Linked DNA regions of Xenopus tropicalis. The protein of the gene in region 1 interacts with the protein of each later gene in a biochemical or structural test. Links are inferred from orthologs where the notes say so. Each region holds a gene or a part of one and is shown on either strand. Other genes may lie near its edges. The genes, in order: mark3, cdc25c and ksr1.

Region 1 (6,105 bases):
GATTACAATATTGGCACTGGTATGGTAAAGTTAATTGCAGAACAATGCCTAATTAATGCACACACCAGACATGTAAATGTTAAATAAAATGCTGCAAATTATAAAAGAAATTATAAAAAGAAGTATCCTTTACATTTATATTCACTGGTATTCAGCTGATGAATAACATTATTTCTTACCTTGAGATCTCTGTGAACAATATGTTTTTGGTGACAATACTGCACAGCAGACACTATCTAGAAATTAAAAAATATAACAATTAAAGCTTTCTGGAAAAATGCTTCTCCATGATTAGGATTTTCTAGGTGAGATGCAAATCAATATGAATTCTGAATTTTCTGACCATATTTAGAGGCGTTACAAATCCACTTACAAATATGGAGATTTTCCTTTTGGTACTTTTCTAATTTAATGTTAAATTACTTAAGCAATCTTGTATTACTCCCGCTTTATATTGGGGATTCAAAAAAACAAAACAAAACAAAAAAAAACATGGTTTTCTTTGGTTTCCTCACCTGGCGAAATTTAGCTCTTGCTTCTTTTTCCTTCATTCTTCCATGTGCAACCAAGTAGTCAAAAACTTCACCTAGAAAAATGAAACAGAAATGTGCAACAAAAGAAGTTCAAAGTAACGAGTAAAGGTAATCAGATAAGTCACAGGGCCCAGAGATGTTTCTCAAGCGGCATTTATGGATCATGTTTATATTGTGTCTTCTTTGCATGATAGAGTTTCAGCTTGCATTTGTGGATGCAACTATGTTCGCAGACAATGTTTTTTTGCGAGTATTCCTGAGCCCATGAAATGATTTTCATTACAAAATTGTGTCTGTTTTAAATGTAGTGTCGCCTGAGGGCCCAAAGTTCATGACCGTCCGATACTGGCTTTTTGCCTATTCCATTGCATTACATTATGGCATGTAAATAAGTTGTTGCAATATTTACTAGCATAGCGTTTTACAGAGTATTGCACCCCACCCCATCTTTACATCCAAGAGACCCAAGCCTCTTTTTTGAAACAGGTTTCTGGCATCAAATTCAAAATGGGCACATATTTAATAAAAAAAATTGTAATATTTGCAATATAGGATTTAAATGATTTGCAAATCATCCCATTCTCTTTATCTACATGTAACCTAGTGTTCTAACACTGTATCTGTAGTTTCACAGGCAAAAGTGCTTCACAACCTTTAGTTATCAAGTCACCCCTTCATACAGGTACAAAAGTGCTTGAAAGGAAAAGGACATAGGTGGTCGTGTTAGTACAGATACTGCAGAAACAAAGCGCACATCACAGCTACATGAAGATCCTGCTACAACAAAGGATAGAAAAAGTACATAGCAAACTAAAAACAGAGTCCTAATGCTATTGTACTATTCACTGCCCACTTTAACAGGTAACCCTTAGGGGCTGATTTACTAATCCACGAATCAGAAAAATTCGGATTGGAAAACGAACATTTTGCGACTTTTTCGTATTTTTTTCGTCGCCGTTACGACTTGCGCAAATTGTCGCAACTTTTTCATAGCCATTACAAATTTCGTTAATTGTCGCAACTTTTTCATAGCCATTATGACTTTCGCGAATTGTCGCGACTTTTTCGTATTGAGCGCTCGAAAAATTTGCGACAATTTGCGAAAAAGTCGCAAAATACCGATCATTACGAAAAAAACGCATTCAGACGCTTTTCAGACGTTCATAGATTAGTAAATGTGTCCCTTAGTATGTGCTACTTTGTATGGTGGAATTACAGCAAAGAAAAAATTATCAGAGATGTAAACAATACAACGCAGTCAGAATGTTCCCATATATAGAGTGGATGTTATACAAGCTTGTGATAACGGCTATGATTTACTGTTCTGGGTCATTTTGTAAACAAACATTTAGGGGGCAGTAAAGCTAGTGTGAAGTCACTAACTACCACTCTTGCAGAATGTCACTCTGCTCTGTAGGCTTATAGCTACCAGACATGTCCTTCAACAGTATAGAGAAACCACCAGGCTACAAATGCAACCATATGCTAATCACCAAGTCTATTTTAATTTAAAACAGACCAATAATTATTTGCAGACTCTACCAGGCAGGGCCCCTCTAAAGCTGGCCATACACGTGGCGATCTCACGATGTTTCGTACGACCGTCGGTCGCACGAAACATCGTCAGATCCGCCACACACCATTCAGGGCTGAATCGGCAGGTAAGGAGGTAGAAACAATAGGATTTCTACCTCCTTCTGCCGATTCAGCTCTGAAGGGAGAATTTTGGTCAGGCGCCTTCTATGGCGCCCGATCAAAATTTTCTAACTTGGCCGATCGGCGAGTCGGCCGATATCAGCAGCTTCCTGCGATATCGGTCGGCTCGCTGACATGCCATACACGCACAGATTATCGTACGAAACGAGGTTTCGTACGATAATATCGGTGCGTGTATGGCCACCTTTAGTCTGTATTTCTGTTGTCTTTTACCTACTTAAAATACTGTCTGGATGAAAATTGTAGAGAGGTACCCGACAATTCCTTGTGATGCGTTGCTACTACTTTTCTCATGAAATGTTGTAGGGTTCATTCATGTGACTTAGCCTTTATAATGGTCTAACAAAATATGCCTGATAAAAGTACAAACATCTACATTACATTTGGCATGTCCTGGTAAATCTAAAAATTGGCATGACATAGCAACAGAGATAAATGATTACTATTATATAAATTATATCTATTACAAGATAAACTATTTTGATACCATGGGATGCAGCAAACTGAATAGGGTTACACCACTGTATAATCTTGGCCAAAAAGCACATCAAATACACAAATCTAAAGTAAATGTTAATTATGGAATGACATCCAATTTTCAACTAAAAATGGGCATGACAAAGGGTTCCCACTCATCTTTATCTGCTCTGGCTATAGAAATGTTTTAAAAAAATCGAATTTCAAATTAAGGTGCCCATAAACGGGCCGATTCTAGCTGTCGATAACGGTCCCTTAGACCGATTCGGCAGCTTATAGGTCTGTGTATGTGCACTAATGACGGGCCTGCCCGACTGATATCTGTCCTGAAATTGGGCAGATCTCGATCAGGCAGGTTTGAAAATCGGTCGGACCGGGGAACCATTGGCTCGTTCATGCGGTCTAATTCGACTGTTTGGCTCCAGTGCCAAACGACCAAATTAGCCCGATATCGCCCGCCTGTAAGTGGGGATATCGAGAGAAGATCCGCTCGCTTGGCGATCTTGGCGTGTATGGTCACCTTGTAAGGAAAGTAAGAAGTTCATTATGTAGAATGAATATTTGAAGTCTGGTAATCTGATTATATACCTCCTTGGACCAATCATGGAATAGCTTGTTGTTACAGTAGATTGTTACTAAAACAATAGGCCCTTTCAACCCTGCAGGCCTTTTGGTTCCAAGGCAACTAAGAACATGTACCTACCCCCCCTTTTGTCTGTAACTTCTCTATATCCTTTTAAGAAAATTTTTGGATGTTAAAATCATTGTTTTAAATATACCAAAAAACACTAATATACAGATAGGACTTACCTCCACTTGCATACTCCATCACCAAATAGAGTGTTTTTTCTGTTTCAATTACTTCAAATAATTTAACTGCAGGGAGAAAAATAGGTCTTTAAAGAAATCTGCAGATATGTTTTTTTTAATACCTTCAGTTATACACATATTTGCAATATGAACCAGCTGTTGCCCTGAAAACTGTATGACTTTTTAAATATTCTAAAAATGGCAAGGTCATGTTGAGGACAGAGGCATGTTTTTTTTTTTTATATTCATTTAAAAGGCACAATCCTAAAAAACTTTAGAATAAAGCAGAATGAGTAGGGATTCCCACAATTCCTCTAAATGGCTTTGTTTTGCGATGGCCTGCCCTGCTCGCAACATCACTACATCAGTTATATATTTGCACCTTCCCCTTGCCCCTCTAGTGACATCAGAGATGGATGAGGGCACGCATATATAAGAAACAATGGCTTGCCAGGTTGGAAGAGGAAGGGTTAGTATTGGTCATCTCACACTTTAAAAATGTATAGGTGTAACAGGGTGCTAAGTACATATAATAAGCTTGCATGCAACTAATATGATATTGAAAAACCAATGTGAAAACAATATAATCATTTGGAACCTGTGAGTTTATCCAATGTTTGATTGCCCTCACATGGCCCAAATGATTGCTCACAATGGCAAATGAAAGTTACCTTGCAAAACTGCATACCTTGGAAGATTTTGTTCTGCTATGTGAGATGGTTAAAAGGCAGAAACTGTAATTTTCTTCAAATATTTTCATCTCTGCTGCTATCATGTATATATTCCAGAAGGGCATTTACCACTACATAAAACAAACTATGAAAGGCAAGACAGAAATTTTAAATCACTGGCCTTTTTTCCACCTGATAACAGCAGCAGGGAAAATGCCTAGTACCATTGGCCTTACACTATATAATTTTCTAAAACAGCTTTTTCCTCCAGTTACTTCAAACTGATAGAAGCACAGCCACTTCAAATTCACTATCCTCTTAATTCAAATATACTTCCCTCTCTTTCTCTGGACTAACTACCCTCCAATCATCCTTGGTGACTTAACCTGCCAAATTTAGGACCCCTTACAATAAATAAACAGTTCCTTTGAGGTCCAGAATTGGACAGTCAACCATAACAGTCCATTTTTTAATTTAATGTTAACCACAAATCTGACACATTCTGCTTTTAAAAGTGTTAACCTGGGCAGCTGGAAATTGCCAAAGAGCCCTCCCTCTGCCATTCAGCGATCTTCAGTAAAATGTTTACAATCTGCCTATCCAATCAGTGAAAAGCAGAGGTTGTAAGTGATGTGGCCACCCATAAGTGAGGCTGCTGATATAGCCCTCACCTTGCTATAAAGGCTTGGTATTTAAAATAAAAAAATAAAAAAAAAATCCCCACTTACCACAGGGCTGAAAATACAGCCCCATGCTATTGTATCTGTTTCACTAGCAAATCATTTCTATAAATATTCATAGAAAACTTTATATAAACAATCCTTCAAACAAAAAGTTACAATATTTAAAAACTTATGTCTTAAGTTACTACTGCAAAAGAGATAAACATCATATTTTAGTAAAATAAAGGTCTACCAGATAATTCATTACCTATATTTGGATGATTCAAAATCTTCATTATTCTTACCTCCCTGAAAAGCTGAAAGATAGTTTACATTAGAACAAAAAAAAAAAAGTTATGTACTTAAAATAGTGCTTGAAAACCCTGTCAGTTTGGAATGATCATTAATGTCTGATTTGTACTCTTTAATTTTCTCTTGTACACCTATTGGGTAAAATGCTTTTATGATTTTATGTTTTGAAAGACTCTTTGAAAATAAATAAATAAATAAATAAAAACTGACGAAGAAAACCTTGCCAGTTAGCAATTTTTATTTGTAGGTTGGGTGCACAGGAAACCCTTTTATAAAAAATATGAACACAAATACAAAACACAAAAAAACAGTTAAGACATGTATAAAACCAAATATGCAAATTTTATTAAAAAAGCATATTAAAGAAAAAAATGGTTTGTTTTTAACACAGGGCCTTCAAAACAAAGGGCTGTTTCAACTATCAGTTTGCACCCACACACTGACAATTTGGTCTAGCCATAGTTTTAGCCCAATGCACTGACCAATAAGCTGACAACAGGGTCTTGACTGATCTAGATTGTAAGTTCTATGGGGCAGGGACCTCCATCCTTTTGTCTCTGACTCTTAACTTATTGCAACTGTACCTTGTATTTATTTGTATTTATTGTTATACTTTGTATTAATATATTATCTTAATAACCCCGTTCGTATTGATCTATACTACTGAAAAGAAGGGTAGGGGGAAAATGCCTACATTTGTAGAAAAAAAGGTAAATTTCAAAGGACATGTTAACCCCAAAACTAGTTTTTTGCCCAATAAAAGCAAACTTAATTTTAAGAAACTTTGCAATATGCATTCATTACATATTTGTAATGGTTTTTAAGTTATTTGTACATATAATTGATATTAATAGCAGTGTCTGCCTGTCCTTTCTATTCTCTGCCCTGCCCTGGTGGCTCTGGCATTTGAAACAATGTAACACA
Region 2 (6,660 bases), on another chromosome or scaffold:
ACGTGGAATTCCAATAAAATTGATTCATGTTTGTGGCTGTAATGTGACAAAATGTGGAAAAGTTCAAGGGGGCCGAATACTTTTGCAAGCCACTGTAGATCACCGCTGTTTGCCTATTTATACCAACACACATTTGGAAAGATTTTAAAGGCTAACAGAGAAGGACAATTTATGTTAAAGTACAGTATGGTATTTGATATGTTCACATATGTATTAAATATGAACAAAAATGTCTTTAAACAAGCAGATATGTGCAATTATACATGCAGCTTGAGTGAAGTGACTGTGACTCAGATTGGGAATTGTGAAGCATGTAGTGAGATGATAAAAATATAAGGATTTTTCTGAGAGAGGAAGTCAGATACGTGAAGAAAATGTTTACAAAAAAGGAGACAAGAAATCCTGTGTTTCTTTTGATAGAGGACAGCTTTTCTGAGCGCTTATGGCTGTATTTACATAGACCTTTCTGATAAAGTTTACTTAGTTTTTACCTTTCCTTCTCCCTTAAGCTTTAAATAAACCCAATAGGATTCTTGTGCCTCCAGTAAGGATTAATGTTATCTTAGTCTGTGCTGGAGCAACAAAACGGCAAATCACATGCAAAAAAACATCTGGTGCCAAAGTTTTGATTACTTACAGGCCATCAAACTGGACAAATTGTGTCTTTGGTGACTCCACTTTGCCTGAAAATTGATAATCACATGCATAAGAAACATACTGCCATGATGAGCTTATTGGACTGAAATTAACACACTTGATGAAAGCACTTTTTGTTTAAGTATTTCAACTAAATTCTATCTGAAATATCTCTCTCAACTGTGGTAGTCAGCACACAAGTAAAGAGACATTTGCATCTAAAAGGTTAACCTTTTAAAATGTCTACTATTGTGTTATATTTTAAATTATTTTGTGTCAGTCCCATTCTGAAATTGAAAATGCAATATTATTGTTTTATCAACAATCCACTACCTAAATGCTACAGCAGCCCTTAAATAAAATGAATATACATAGGTACCTTGTTCTTGTTTACTCAGCAGAAACTAAAGAATTCATACCTAATGACATTCTGTCAGGGGACTCTGTTGGCAGTGGCCCAGTCTCATCACCAAGGTTGGACAAGTCCAGGCAGCGTTTGGGAGTTTCACTGATCGTGGCAAAGAAACAAAAAAAACAAAAAAGAAAATAACTGTCCATGCGTAAATAAAGATTTTAGGGAAGAGAAAAACTATTTTTTAGCAATAAGAGCAAAATAGTGAGAGCAGACTAGTATATCTTCCAGTACAATCAAAACCATGTTATAAACAGTGCACTGAAGAAAATTAGGAAAAAGGAATATATGGACGGTTTCTTAAAGGAAAGAATATACAGCATATGTCACAATGCTGCACACACAATAAACAGGTGATGTTTTTCTCTGCCGTTTTTTACATAGCATGTCCACGCTGTCATGAAGCTCCTAGGTTCCAAGCATTCCTGCTCCCTTGCAGCCATTAAAAATTACCAGTTATATTTTAAGACAGACAGTACATGTGCAGATAAAAGCTCCTGTTTCAGGCCCTCCAGCTTATTGGCTTGTGTATGGGTTCCTCCAAAGACCTTACTTTTATATTGAGCCTCTAGAGAAGCAAAAAACAAAATAGAAATGCTAAAAAAAAAAAAAAATAGCTGACCTCACCAACTGATAAATTCTACTTTACAATGTACTCTAACTTCTTTGCTAAGACCTTTATTATGACCACTAATCACTTCAAATAATTCAAAAGCTTAATGTTTCTGAGACTCTTCAGCAACTTGCACATTTGTTTTTAGGTAATCACCATAGCAGGTAATGGGGAAGGTGGTCAATTTGAGGCAAACTGGCAATGGCTCCCAAGCATCTGAAATCATCAGTTTGTGATGCCCTTAAAACAGGGGTCCTCAAACTACAGCCCGCGGGTCGATTCGGCCCCCCAAGATCATTTACCCAGCCCCCACTGGTGTGATGCGGTGACACGCTGGGGCCGAGGACAATGCTGAGGCAGACAGGTAGTAGCCAGGGGTGAGGATGCAGCGGGGGCATAGTTCGAGGACTAACTATAGTCCAGCCCCCCCCAACAGTCTGAGGGACCAAGAACTGACACCCTGTTTAAAAAGTTTGAGGACCCCTGCCCTAAAACATATACAGAGCACAAAATAACCAGTTCTGCAAATTTCTCTGCATGCAGGCTTTAGAATGCCGAGCTGATATTTACCCAGTGAAGGTACTTAGGTTACTAAATCCAACAGCAAGGTCAGTGACAGGTGTCAAAGGCTGTTCAGGAGAAAATGTAACTGAGGAATCTTTTTCACGAAGGAGGTTTAATATCATTCTGCAATTTGTACGGAAATGCAGGCCTTGGTTGGACTTTGGGGGTGCTTCTGATGACATTATGTGATTCTCTGCCATGACTTCAGCCGAGCCTCCACTACTTGTCTGGAACCTGTGGTGCAAATGAAATACATAGTTATAGCACAAAATAAAAATGAAAGATCTGCAAACATGTGTTTTATACAAAACTCACAAATCTGTTTATTTTGTTATGAAAAACTTTCATATACTCTATGAGAACAATGAAGGTTATTACCATAAAGCTTGACTCTACAGCCATGTTTTTATTAATATACCCAAACATCTTTTATTTCAACTCACACAACAAACGTGCATTTTGGAGCCCTCCTTCTGACTAACATGTTTAATACCACCGATTGGGCACCTCAGATGCCTCATAAAAATTTTAAGCAATTTTAAAGAACAGTATTGCCAAAAAAAAGAAAGATCTGCGTTGAGATAAAATATAGCCTACCCTGGTCTGGGGCATTCAATGTGACTTAAATAGATAGAAAATAATCCAATTGGGTTTAATTAATGTTTTATTGATTTTTTTTAGTAGACTTAAAGGAGAAGGAAAGGCTAAGTCACTTGGGGGTGCCAAAATGTTAGGCACCCCCAAGTGACTTTAATCGCTTACCTTTTACCCCGGGCTGGTGCCCCTGTTGGGATAAAACCGCACCAGCCTGGCGTAGCTGCAGCAAGTGTTCACTCTTCCTTTGTGCGCTTGTGCAGTAGAGTGAAAAGCCAAACCTTAACAAGAAAGTGGGCTTTTTCACTCTACTGCGCATGCTCTGGCCCAGGGATTCCAAAGAGAGAAGAAATAAGGAAGAGGAAACGCTCAAAGACAAGCCAACCCAGAATATAATTTTTTGCCTAATAAGAGAAATTCTAAGCAACTTTGCAATATACATTCATTACAAATGTATAATGGTTTTTGAGTTATTTGTATATATAACTGCTATTAAAAGTAGTGTTTGTCAGTCATTTTTTATTTTCTGCCCTGGTGGCTTTGACTGTTGAAACAATTTAGCAGATACAAGGCAGCAGCCTGACAGACCTGTATTGCTGAAGGAGACTGACGTTTGCAATATTGTTTAAAAAGTAACAACCAGGAGTTCAGCAAATGCTGCTTTCTATAGCAATTACAATTAGCTATTAAAGCACTGAAAATTAGCCTTGGTATATAGGGACGGCCATGCGTCAAAGAGTACATTTTAAAGATTATTTATGACTCTTATTATATACTATTTAAGTACCTCTAAGTACAATATCCACTAGAGTGCAATACTCACTCCACCTGATAACATCAGGGCAATATTATTTGAGAAAAGGCTACAACATGCATGTATAAAGCAGGGCACAGATCATCACTACTGAACAGAGGTCACTAGAATGACAAGTTTAATAAGAACTGCTTACATTCGGGGGTTACACGCTCCTTAATTATCGAACCGACTCTCCATCGCCAAGTAGTCTGCGTCTGAAGCAAGTTATCATGTGTCCAGAACACCCTTCTACCCCTACAGCATCTGCGTGCACTTTTATTTTACCATTCGAACCCCTACTACGATACCAGTTACAGATACAACGTAGCAAAAAAAAAACAAAAAACCGAACACAAAATTAAAATCTTCCGCTTAGAACAACTAACCAATCACAAGAGAGCATCCGGGTCACAACTCACAAAAGCACCTAGAAAGGCTGTAGGACAGGGAGGTCCGTTGGGATAGGCTACAAGACAAGCTGTTTGAAACAAATATCTGTAATAATTGGCTGATAAGAGCGCGTCACAGGCAGCGCAGTCTCAGATTGGTTTAGTTGTTTTAGAGCTCTTCCTGGTCCCTGTTGCGCTCAGTGATTCGCTATCTCGTTTGTATTATGCATGCAGGGCGCGCCCACTTTGCTGTGGCGGGGTGTTTAAAGAGCAATGGCTGAGTAGCTTTAGTCAGCTGTTGTCTGAGCCATGCAGCGGTAATAGAGGGAAGCGTGCTGTTTGAAGTTGGTGTTCTACGATGAGCTTGTGTTGCTTTTTCTCCTCCGTTCTTTGGAAATTCTGTAGCTTTCCTATGCTGGAGTGGTTATGCTCACCCACTGGCTTAATGCTCTGTTTTGCCTGGCTGGTTGAAGGGCTTTAGAGTAGTGTGGATTTGACGTGTAATCGTTTTGTATTTGGTAGCTCCTGGCAGTTATTAGAAGTCTGCTTTTGGTATTAAAAAAAAAAAATGTATCTGGTTTTGTAATAATACATTCACTTCAAATGTGGAAAATGCTGTCAGGTTATTTCAGTGTTTTACATGGAAACATCTTGAGTTCTCTCTAATTCTGTTTGGATCTATGGGGCTCATTTGTAAACACTTGGCAAATTTGCACCTGGTCATTAACCCATAGCAGCCAAGCAGTAATTAGCCAGCTTTAGGTTAAACACTAAAAGCAATCATCTGATTGACCATGGGTTACTGCCCAGGTGCAAACTTACTCAGTGTTTACACATAACTTCAATTTTGTGCTTAAAATCTTGTTGCTGTCTTAATACAGGTTCCATATAAAATCTTCATGCTGCATGACTGGTTAGTAATTCTGCCCTGTTGTATGCTGTACGTTTTATAATGGTTCTCTAGCAAGAATATAATACGCATCAGAAAGGATTAATAATGTGGCATGTATTAAGAAACTGGAATACTTCTGGGATACATTTGTGCATTATCTAGGGAGGGAGGACCTGTAAAAAGCTTGATGGCCTTCAGGAATAGGGGCAGTAAAGCTTAACCTGGAATTGTAACCATTTTCTCTAAAACTTTTTGTATATGTATATCTTTGCTGCGCAGGTTGCATTGTCACTGTTTAAAATCGCACTTTATATAAATTCACTGCATGGATGATTTGTGTACCATTTATTATGCTACATTTGAGCTGATTATCACAGCAAACTTTTTTTTGTTCTAAACCAAAAGGAAGAAAATTTTACATTAAAGCTAATGTCAGTGGCGAAAATATGCCTACATAGTTTTACTACTGTTTTTGCAATCTCTTACCTGTCTAAGCAAATCACCAGCTTGTTTCTAGGGTTCAGTTGAGCCTTAGACTGCTAGATGTTCTTGACTTGGCCCAAAATAAGCTGCATATTTAAAGGGGAACATTTATTGAAGTGTTTAATCTCATAGAAATTAGACACTTCCTGTACAGTTACTGAAATCAAGTTCACTGTCTCCATGTCAGAAATTGACCTCTCTCTACATGCAACTTTGTGTCAGGGTCAGTTATTGTGAAAGACCACTGTAGTACACTGTCTAACTTTAGACAAAGGGAACACACATTTGACCTAACCATCAAAATCTAAATGATTCCTACATGAAGAGAGACAGATTGCTGCGAGTAAGGTGGCCATACACTGGCTGACTTCAGCTGCCGATATCTGTTCTTTAGACCGATTCAACAACTTGTATGCTCCATGTATGGGCACAGGCCTTCCCAACCAACATATGGCCTGAAATTAGCCAGATCTCAATTGGGCAGGTTTGTTTTTTCTGTTGGTTTAGGCATTGCATCGGCTCACTGTTGCATTCCCCGATCTGATGGCACCTATGCCTGCCTAGAGGTTGAATTGACCCGATATTGCCCGCTCATAGGTGGGCATATAGGGAAAAGATCCGCTCACTCGGTAACTTCGCCAAATTTGTTTATGGCCACTATTTTGGCCTTTTCAGAGGACCCAAATCATTTAAGCCAGCTTTTTCTAATGTAGAATTTGGTTAAAATGAGCTATACACCTTAATTTTATTTACTATTTTCACTTTTAAGTGGGTCACCGTAGGTACCATGCTTACAATGTAAACATATGTAATTTGTACAAAGGTATCCATATAGGCATCGATCGGTCATTCTGCTTGCCTGATCCCTTTCCTGTGTATATATATATATATATAACACCGTGGCACTATCCATTTGGTATGCTGATCCCAAATGTTAACCTGATGTCTAGAAGGGTAAAAGATTTTTTTTCCTTTTCACTTAGTGGTAGTTCATGTTTAAATAAACTTTTAGTATGATGCAGTGATTTTCTAAGACAAACCTGAAATGTTCTTTGTGGTTCTTAAATGATTTAACGTTTTGTTCAGCAGTACTCCAGTTTGGAATTTCAGCAGCTTTCTGGTTGCTAGGGTCCAACTTTTTTAGCAACCAGCCAATGGTTTGAGTGAGAGACTGAAAAAAAAAAAAAAAAAGAATACAAGGTCTGGATAGATGTAATAAAAAGTAACAAAATTGTAGCCTCACAGAGCTCACTTGGAGATCTTGGAAGAGAAAAATGAAGG
Region 3 (6,105 bases), on another chromosome or scaffold:
TGTATTGTCAAAAAAAGAGAAAAGAAAAGGAGTTATCTTCAGTCTATCTGGCTGCAGCAGGACAATCCCGGATTCAGGGCTATTCTGTTTAAAACTATAAATGATTTGCAACACTCCCAACTGCCAACACTTGGTAAAAAGATGCAAATAAAAGTTGCATGGCCACAGTTTGGGTATCCCTATTTCAGGAGACTTACATAACTTCTCAGTTGTTGGGTTAAAATTATTTTATACCTTGGGTTCATTATACAACAACTTTGACAATAAAAAAGGCAACCTGAATGAATAAATTCATATATGGTAGTAATTCTAACCTATCCTCTACCAATTTCATACTGTTCTGTGTGCCACTGATACTGCATAAGCCATATCCTTTTGGAATGCATTCATACAAGAGCAAACTCATTTACCACTTGAGAAGAAGCAACTACAGGAGTTCTAATGGGTAAAACTTCTAGCCCAAAATTCCAATTTGTGTCTGTATCAGTGGCAGGTGCAAAGCAAGCTCACACTGGTGCTGCACTTAAAGGAACAGTAACACCAAAAAATGAAAGTGTATAAAAGTAATAACAATATAATGTACTGTTGCCCTGCATTGCTACAACTGGTGTGTTTGCCTCAGAAAGACTACTATAGTTTATTTAAGTTAGCTGCTGTTAAGCCATGGGGGCAGCCATTCAAAGGAGAAAAGGCACAGGTTACTTAGCAGATAACAGATAAACCCCCATTATATGGGGCTTATCTACTAGTTATCTGCTATGTAACCTGTGCCTTTTCTCCTTTTTTTCAGCTTGAATGGCTGCCCCCATGGCTACACAGCAGCTTATTTATATAGTAGCTTTTTTGTAGCAAAAATACCAGTTTTTTGCAGAGCAACAGCACATTATATTTTAATTACTTTAAAACACTTTAATTTTTTGATGTTACTGATCCTTTAACCCTTATCTTTGAAATGCTGCATACATTTATGGCTTAACTGTTTTGCAAGTGGAAAGAAAATGTAACATTGCATCTGTTTGGTGCATTTTGCTCCGTGACTGTGCATTTTGCAGTGCTTATATTTATTCTTCAATTCAAGCTCTACTTATGCCCATTGCAACACTGTTGTTATATTACTTGTGCCAGGGCAACAGTGGTAGAAACAGCTCCCAAAAAAAGATTCATTGGATAGTGCAGATAACTTCCTGAGAGGGAATTCTGGCCCAAAAGCCATAATCAGAAGCGGCTATTACATAAGACAGCATGGAGCTGGCGGACTCTCATATAGCTGACAATTATAGAAAAACCATAAAAGTAAAAGCCTCTAAGTAAAAGTGTGTTTTCCAGTAAACATCTAAAGGGAATATGATGAACCTTGTCTTTTGCATCCAATCTCTTCAATGATCAATACATTGTACAGATCCATATCCCAACTCATCCCTCTCTTAAAGGGAAAAGAAAGTCAAAGTCACTTGGGGGTGCCAAAATGTTAGGCACCCCCAAGTGACTTTGACCACCTACCTTTTACCCCGGGCTGGTGCCCCTGTGAGGAGGGAACAGCACCAGCCCGGGGTAGCTGCCGGCGCTTCCTTCCTCTTGTTTCGCTGCGCGCGCATGCGCAGTAGAGTGAAAAGCCGAACTTAAACATTAAAGTCGGCTTTTCACTCTACTGCGCATGCGCCCACTGCTGGCATTCAGGAAGAGGAAGCCAGAACACGGAAGCGCTGCGCTCCAGGTGCCCCGGGCTGGTGCTGTTTTCTCCCAACAGGGGCACCAGCCCGGGGTACGAGGTAAGCGGTTAAAGTCACTTGGGGGTGCCTAACATTTTGGCACCCCCAAGTGACTTTACCTTTCGTTTCCCTTTAAAGAAGGCCAAGGGTAAACAACAAAAAACAAAAAGGAAGAACCACCCAGAATGTATTGAATTTATGTTTCAGTTCTGTCTAGTCAAAGATATTAAGCTGCACAACTCACTGTAATGATACCAACATCAAATGGAAAGTATTATTAAACAAGAATTTATAAAATGCTAACATATTCCACAATAGAAAGATGAAGACATCAGTGATGATACCTCTGCACAGAAATGGCCAAGAAAGGCATTATGATACCAGCACATATTCTAGAAGAATTGTGCAAAAAGCTGTATTTGGTTTTAACAAATATTTTTAGGTCAATGCAACACTGGGAGCTTTTCAATATTCCCTTTGAATTAAAGGGAAGATGGCAGACTACTTATCTGATGATTAAGCAATCCTCTGTAAATTCAAAAGATATATACCTGAATAAAAACTTACTTAAGAGAAGGAACTTCATCTATTCTGTTGCCAAGCTGAGATTCATGAGACTTGCTTCTTTTGAGCGTTGAAAAGTTGGGAAGTAATTGCTGAAACACTTTGCGGCCTGGAGGGGGTGGTGTCCGAGGGGGCTTTAATTTTATGGCCCTCTTTAACTGTGGGGTGGTAGGAGGGGTGATTGTAAATCCATGGGGAGTCCTAAGTGTTAACCTACTGATAGGTGTTGAGGAGGAGAAAGGGTCCTGCAAGTTCTCTGCATAAATATAAGGTCCTTGGCTTGAGGATTCTGAGAAAGGGATGGCAGAAACGGAAATGGAGCGAGGCTGGTGGCTGTTGGTCTTCGGAGGCTGAGAGTTAAGAGTCCATGCTGCTCCAACGGGAGAGGAAATATCAGACGGAACTTGGGAAGAGCTTTCTTTCCTCATCTCTGGTGGATTCCATAATGTATCTTTCATGTCCCCCCCTGTAAAAAAAAAAAAGGAAAAAAGAAAATCAGTTTGGAAAATATTTTGTATGCGCAAAATAAAGAACATTTCTTTAATCTAGAAGTAAATTATGAAATTCTATGTTACTGTCAATAGTCAGTTGCAAATCTTAGGGCTGACAAGATGTAATCTTGTCAATCTCATCTTCTTGCCAAGCTACTTGTCCAACTGGTGGCCTGCAGCCCCCCTCCTTGTGTGGCCTCATTAAAATCTGGCTGCTGTGAATGCTTACATTTGTATAATCTTAAAAAGCATCAGTACTGAGATTAACTTGCCCCCTGCATTATTCACACCTCAGATTCAAGCTGTAAAACCCTGCATTGTTCACACCTCAGACCCTAAGCTTCCCTGTTTCCTTCCCTACTCTGTCTGCCCTATGCTACCTGTGTGTGTCAAACTCTGCCTGCCCTATTCAGTCTGTGAAATGCAGGGTCTTACAGGTGTGAAAAATGCAGGGGCTCACAACTGTGAACAATGCAGGGGTTCACAGCTTGAATCTAAGGTGTGAATAATTCAGGGACCAGTTAATCTCAGAACGGATACCTTTTAAAGCTTACACAAAGGTGGGGGTTAAGGCGCTACCCACAGGGAAGGAGGAGAAGCCTTATAGATTTAAGAGTATAAGTGTATGCTTTAATATGACAATCAACTTTTTTCACATATGAGTGGTGGGTGAGCACCAATCATTCGATTTTTTTGGTGTGCTACCACCATTAATGGGGGTATTGCCTTAAAAGTTCCTGTGATAAAATTGGTGTGGTTTAAAAAGGGGAGTGTTTTTTTGGCCCTCGGTACCACAAAAGTTGTACAGCACTATTCTAATCTAATGTCTTTGATGGATAGCTGAATGAGCCACAATCTGATATCACTAGGGAGTGTATATTTTTAAAATTTTACTTCACAATAGTTTTCTTGCTTATTCACAGCATCCAAAGTCTGCTTTAAGGCAGAAATAAATGATTTGTATTGCTCCAAATGTTGCAAATGTACTCAGCTGGTTGTTCTGTAAAGTCTAGTTTGCTAAAAGTTGTATTTTACCCTTTTTTATGTCCCATTTAAGAAACACGTTCTACAGGTATATATAAACGCTTGGGCTAGGGCTGCCAATATTTAGGAGGTAGCAGGCAGGAATTTAGGCTGTGGCCTTGAAAATATCAAAACCATCCCCAGGATATTAAATCTTGGTGTTATGTAGCAGAAATCATGTTGGGAAACCAGATAGATAGATGATAGATAGATCTACATTTAAACTAACACCCCCCTTCTCTAAGCAGCAGCCTTTGAGCAGCTCATTATCAGAGGGCTTTTCCATGGACTGGTAATTAGTTTTATCAGCTCCTTTGAAGTGCTGTAGGATCAGGATGTGACAGGAAGTATTAAAGTGGAACTGGCTTCATATTCTAGTTTAGTGTCAGATGTAAAAGATTATATAAGTAAGATTAGCACAAGCCTTTTCATAGAATTCTTGATGAAAATGGGTGTGTGTTGTACCTTTAAATTCAGTTATACTGGCCTGGTCTGTCAGCTTATTGAGACCTACACAGGGTTGCCTTATGTACTCAGAAATGCTTTCTACAGAAGGGAGTATTCCCTTTTGGGTGGGTCATGTCCTGTTTTATTATTGTTGTAATGGTACAGGTTGGGAGAGAAATTCTTACCTGAACGTGCTAATTTCTTTAAGCAGGTTAGAGCTCCATTAAGTCTGGAGCATTCTTCTGTGTTGGCTCCACATTTCTTCATGGTTTCTTTTACTTTTAATTCATTCAATTCCAATAAGGCATCTAGTGTTAATTCTTCTGATACTTTCTAAAAACAGATGCAAAACAATTGTCATGTACAACTTTCAAAATGGTAAATATTTGCCATCTTTAAGTAAGGTTAAGGAGGCACAAAGTACTTAAAACTGTTATACATGTGTATCCATTTGCTGTACATCCTCAATTTCCTACATGCTGATCTCTGCCTGTGGGTTTCAGTCACGTGGAAAGAAGTGGATCTGCAACACTCATCATTTCCCTGTAGCTGCAATAACAATGACAGCTTCCACCAGAGTGCAGCTACATAGAGTAGAGCGGCCAAAAATGCCTGCTTTCACGTTTTAGGGCAATTCACTGCTTCCACTCCATTCTGAGTAGCTGCATGCAGGCTGTGATTGTCAGTGCAGCTACAGGGAGATGCTGATAAGAGTGGATCCACTTATACGCCTGATTAAAAATGCTCTGTGTGACCAAAGGAGCCAGACTTCAGCCTCTCATAATGAACTTGCTTTCCCTCTCTCAGAACAATGGGAAGGTAGCAGCTCCCAGTACATATCAGAATAGAACTCAATAGTAACAAATCCAGCTTGGGACCCCTCCAGTTACATTGAGAAGGAGAAACAATAGGCTAAATTCTAATGTGTAGCGCTGGCTCTTTCTGAAAGTTCAGAATCAGGCACCAATATTACTAAAAAATACATTTGTTGGTTCAAGAATAACATTTTAAATGGTAGAGTGAATTATTTGCTATGTAAACAGTGTAATTTAGAAATTAAAAGTACACTATAAGAATCATGTCAAAATCCCTTTAACTGTCTTACAGTTAGACATACAAAACTCAAGAGTAGAATTCAGGCATGATTCGTATATCTGTGTTATAATATCCACACCAGCTCTGAAAATAATAAATTGAAAAACTAATACAGGCATTGCCAAGGTATCTAAGGCAAGAACATATATGAACATGTTTCTTTTTAACCTCTTGTATAGTTTATTTAGTTTTGTAGGCATGTATCTTCTATATGTATGCATGTGACAGATAAAGGCACAATAGCTGCTAGTGCCATTCAGGATCCTGGATGCATCCTGAAGGGATAGTGACCATTAGAGGATTGCAAAAAAGCAGGCAACGTGCATAATTAATTCATTAAAGCTCTTTTACTTCATTTTAATGCAAAATGGCCCGGGCTACCTAGCTTACATAACATACATAGTACAAAAGATGTATACAATCTAGGATTTGGAATTTGGATGCATTCCACAAATATTTGCAAGATTTACATTCAGCTGAATGTTAAGCCCAAATGAACCTAAAACACTGATGAAATGCAACAGTAATGCAATTGTGCATTAACAAATTATGTATTTGTCAACTAAAACTATGCAAATAAAAGGTTTGTTCAATTCTGTATATAGACCAATTTTGTTACATTTACACACAAATCCAAAAATAATTTATTTTCTGCATCCCTATGTAGATCACTATAAACTGTGATGGCTTGTGTTTTATTAGAGGAGAAATTTAAATTGTCCTCCTAAAAAAAAAACAAAAAACCCCATAATTTTTAGTAACTTTTTGTTATACAT

Evidence for each region.
Region 2: of the proteins of mark3 (region 1) and cdc25c, one has a biochemical effect on the other in vitro, tested with the Homo sapiens proteins (3 studies listed by BioGRID, with this or other methods). The link is inferred for Xenopus tropicalis from reciprocal best matches to the Homo sapiens genes MARK3 and CDC25C.
Region 3: of the proteins of mark3 (region 1) and ksr1, one has a biochemical effect on the other in vitro, tested with the Homo sapiens proteins (2 studies listed by BioGRID). The link is inferred for Xenopus tropicalis from reciprocal best matches to the Homo sapiens genes MARK3 and KSR1.

The regions. Positions count from the first base shown.
Region 1 is NC_030684.2:98,313,413-98,319,517, reverse strand, and holds part of mark3 (MAP/microtubule affinity-regulating kinase 3), read right to left. Parts: intron 5,187-6,105; coding exon 5,138-5,186; intron 3,603-5,137; coding exon 3,537-3,602; intron 587-3,536; coding exon 516-586; intron 237-515; coding exon 180-236; intron 1-179. UniProt on the Homo sapiens protein: Serine/threonine-protein kinase. Involved in the specific phosphorylation of microtubule-associated proteins for MAP2 and MAP4. Phosphorylates the microtubule-associated protein MAPT/TAU. Phosphorylates CDC25C on 'Ser-216'.
Region 2 is NC_030679.2:48,002,605-48,009,264, forward strand, and holds the start of cdc25c (M-phase inducer phosphatase 3), read right to left. Parts: upstream 4,103-6,660; 5' UTR 4,019-4,102; coding exon 4,002-4,018; exon of another isoform or gene 3,772-4,001; coding exon of another isoform or gene 3,770-3,771; intron 2,460-3,769; coding exon 2,232-2,459; intron 1,145-2,231; coding exon 1,056-1,144; intron 684-1,055; coding exon 638-683; intron 1-637. Other genes in the region: oocyte-specific histone RNA stem-loop-binding protein 2, read left to right, coding at 4,904-4,917. UniProt on the Homo sapiens protein: Functions as a dosage-dependent inducer in mitotic control. Tyrosine protein phosphatase required for progression of the cell cycle. When phosphorylated, highly effective in activating G2 cells into prophase.
Region 3 is NC_030678.2:104,942,088-104,948,192, reverse strand, and holds part of ksr1 (kinase suppressor of Ras 1), read right to left. Parts: intron 4,568-6,105; coding exon 4,420-4,567; intron 2,740-4,419; coding exon 2,277-2,739; intron 1-2,276.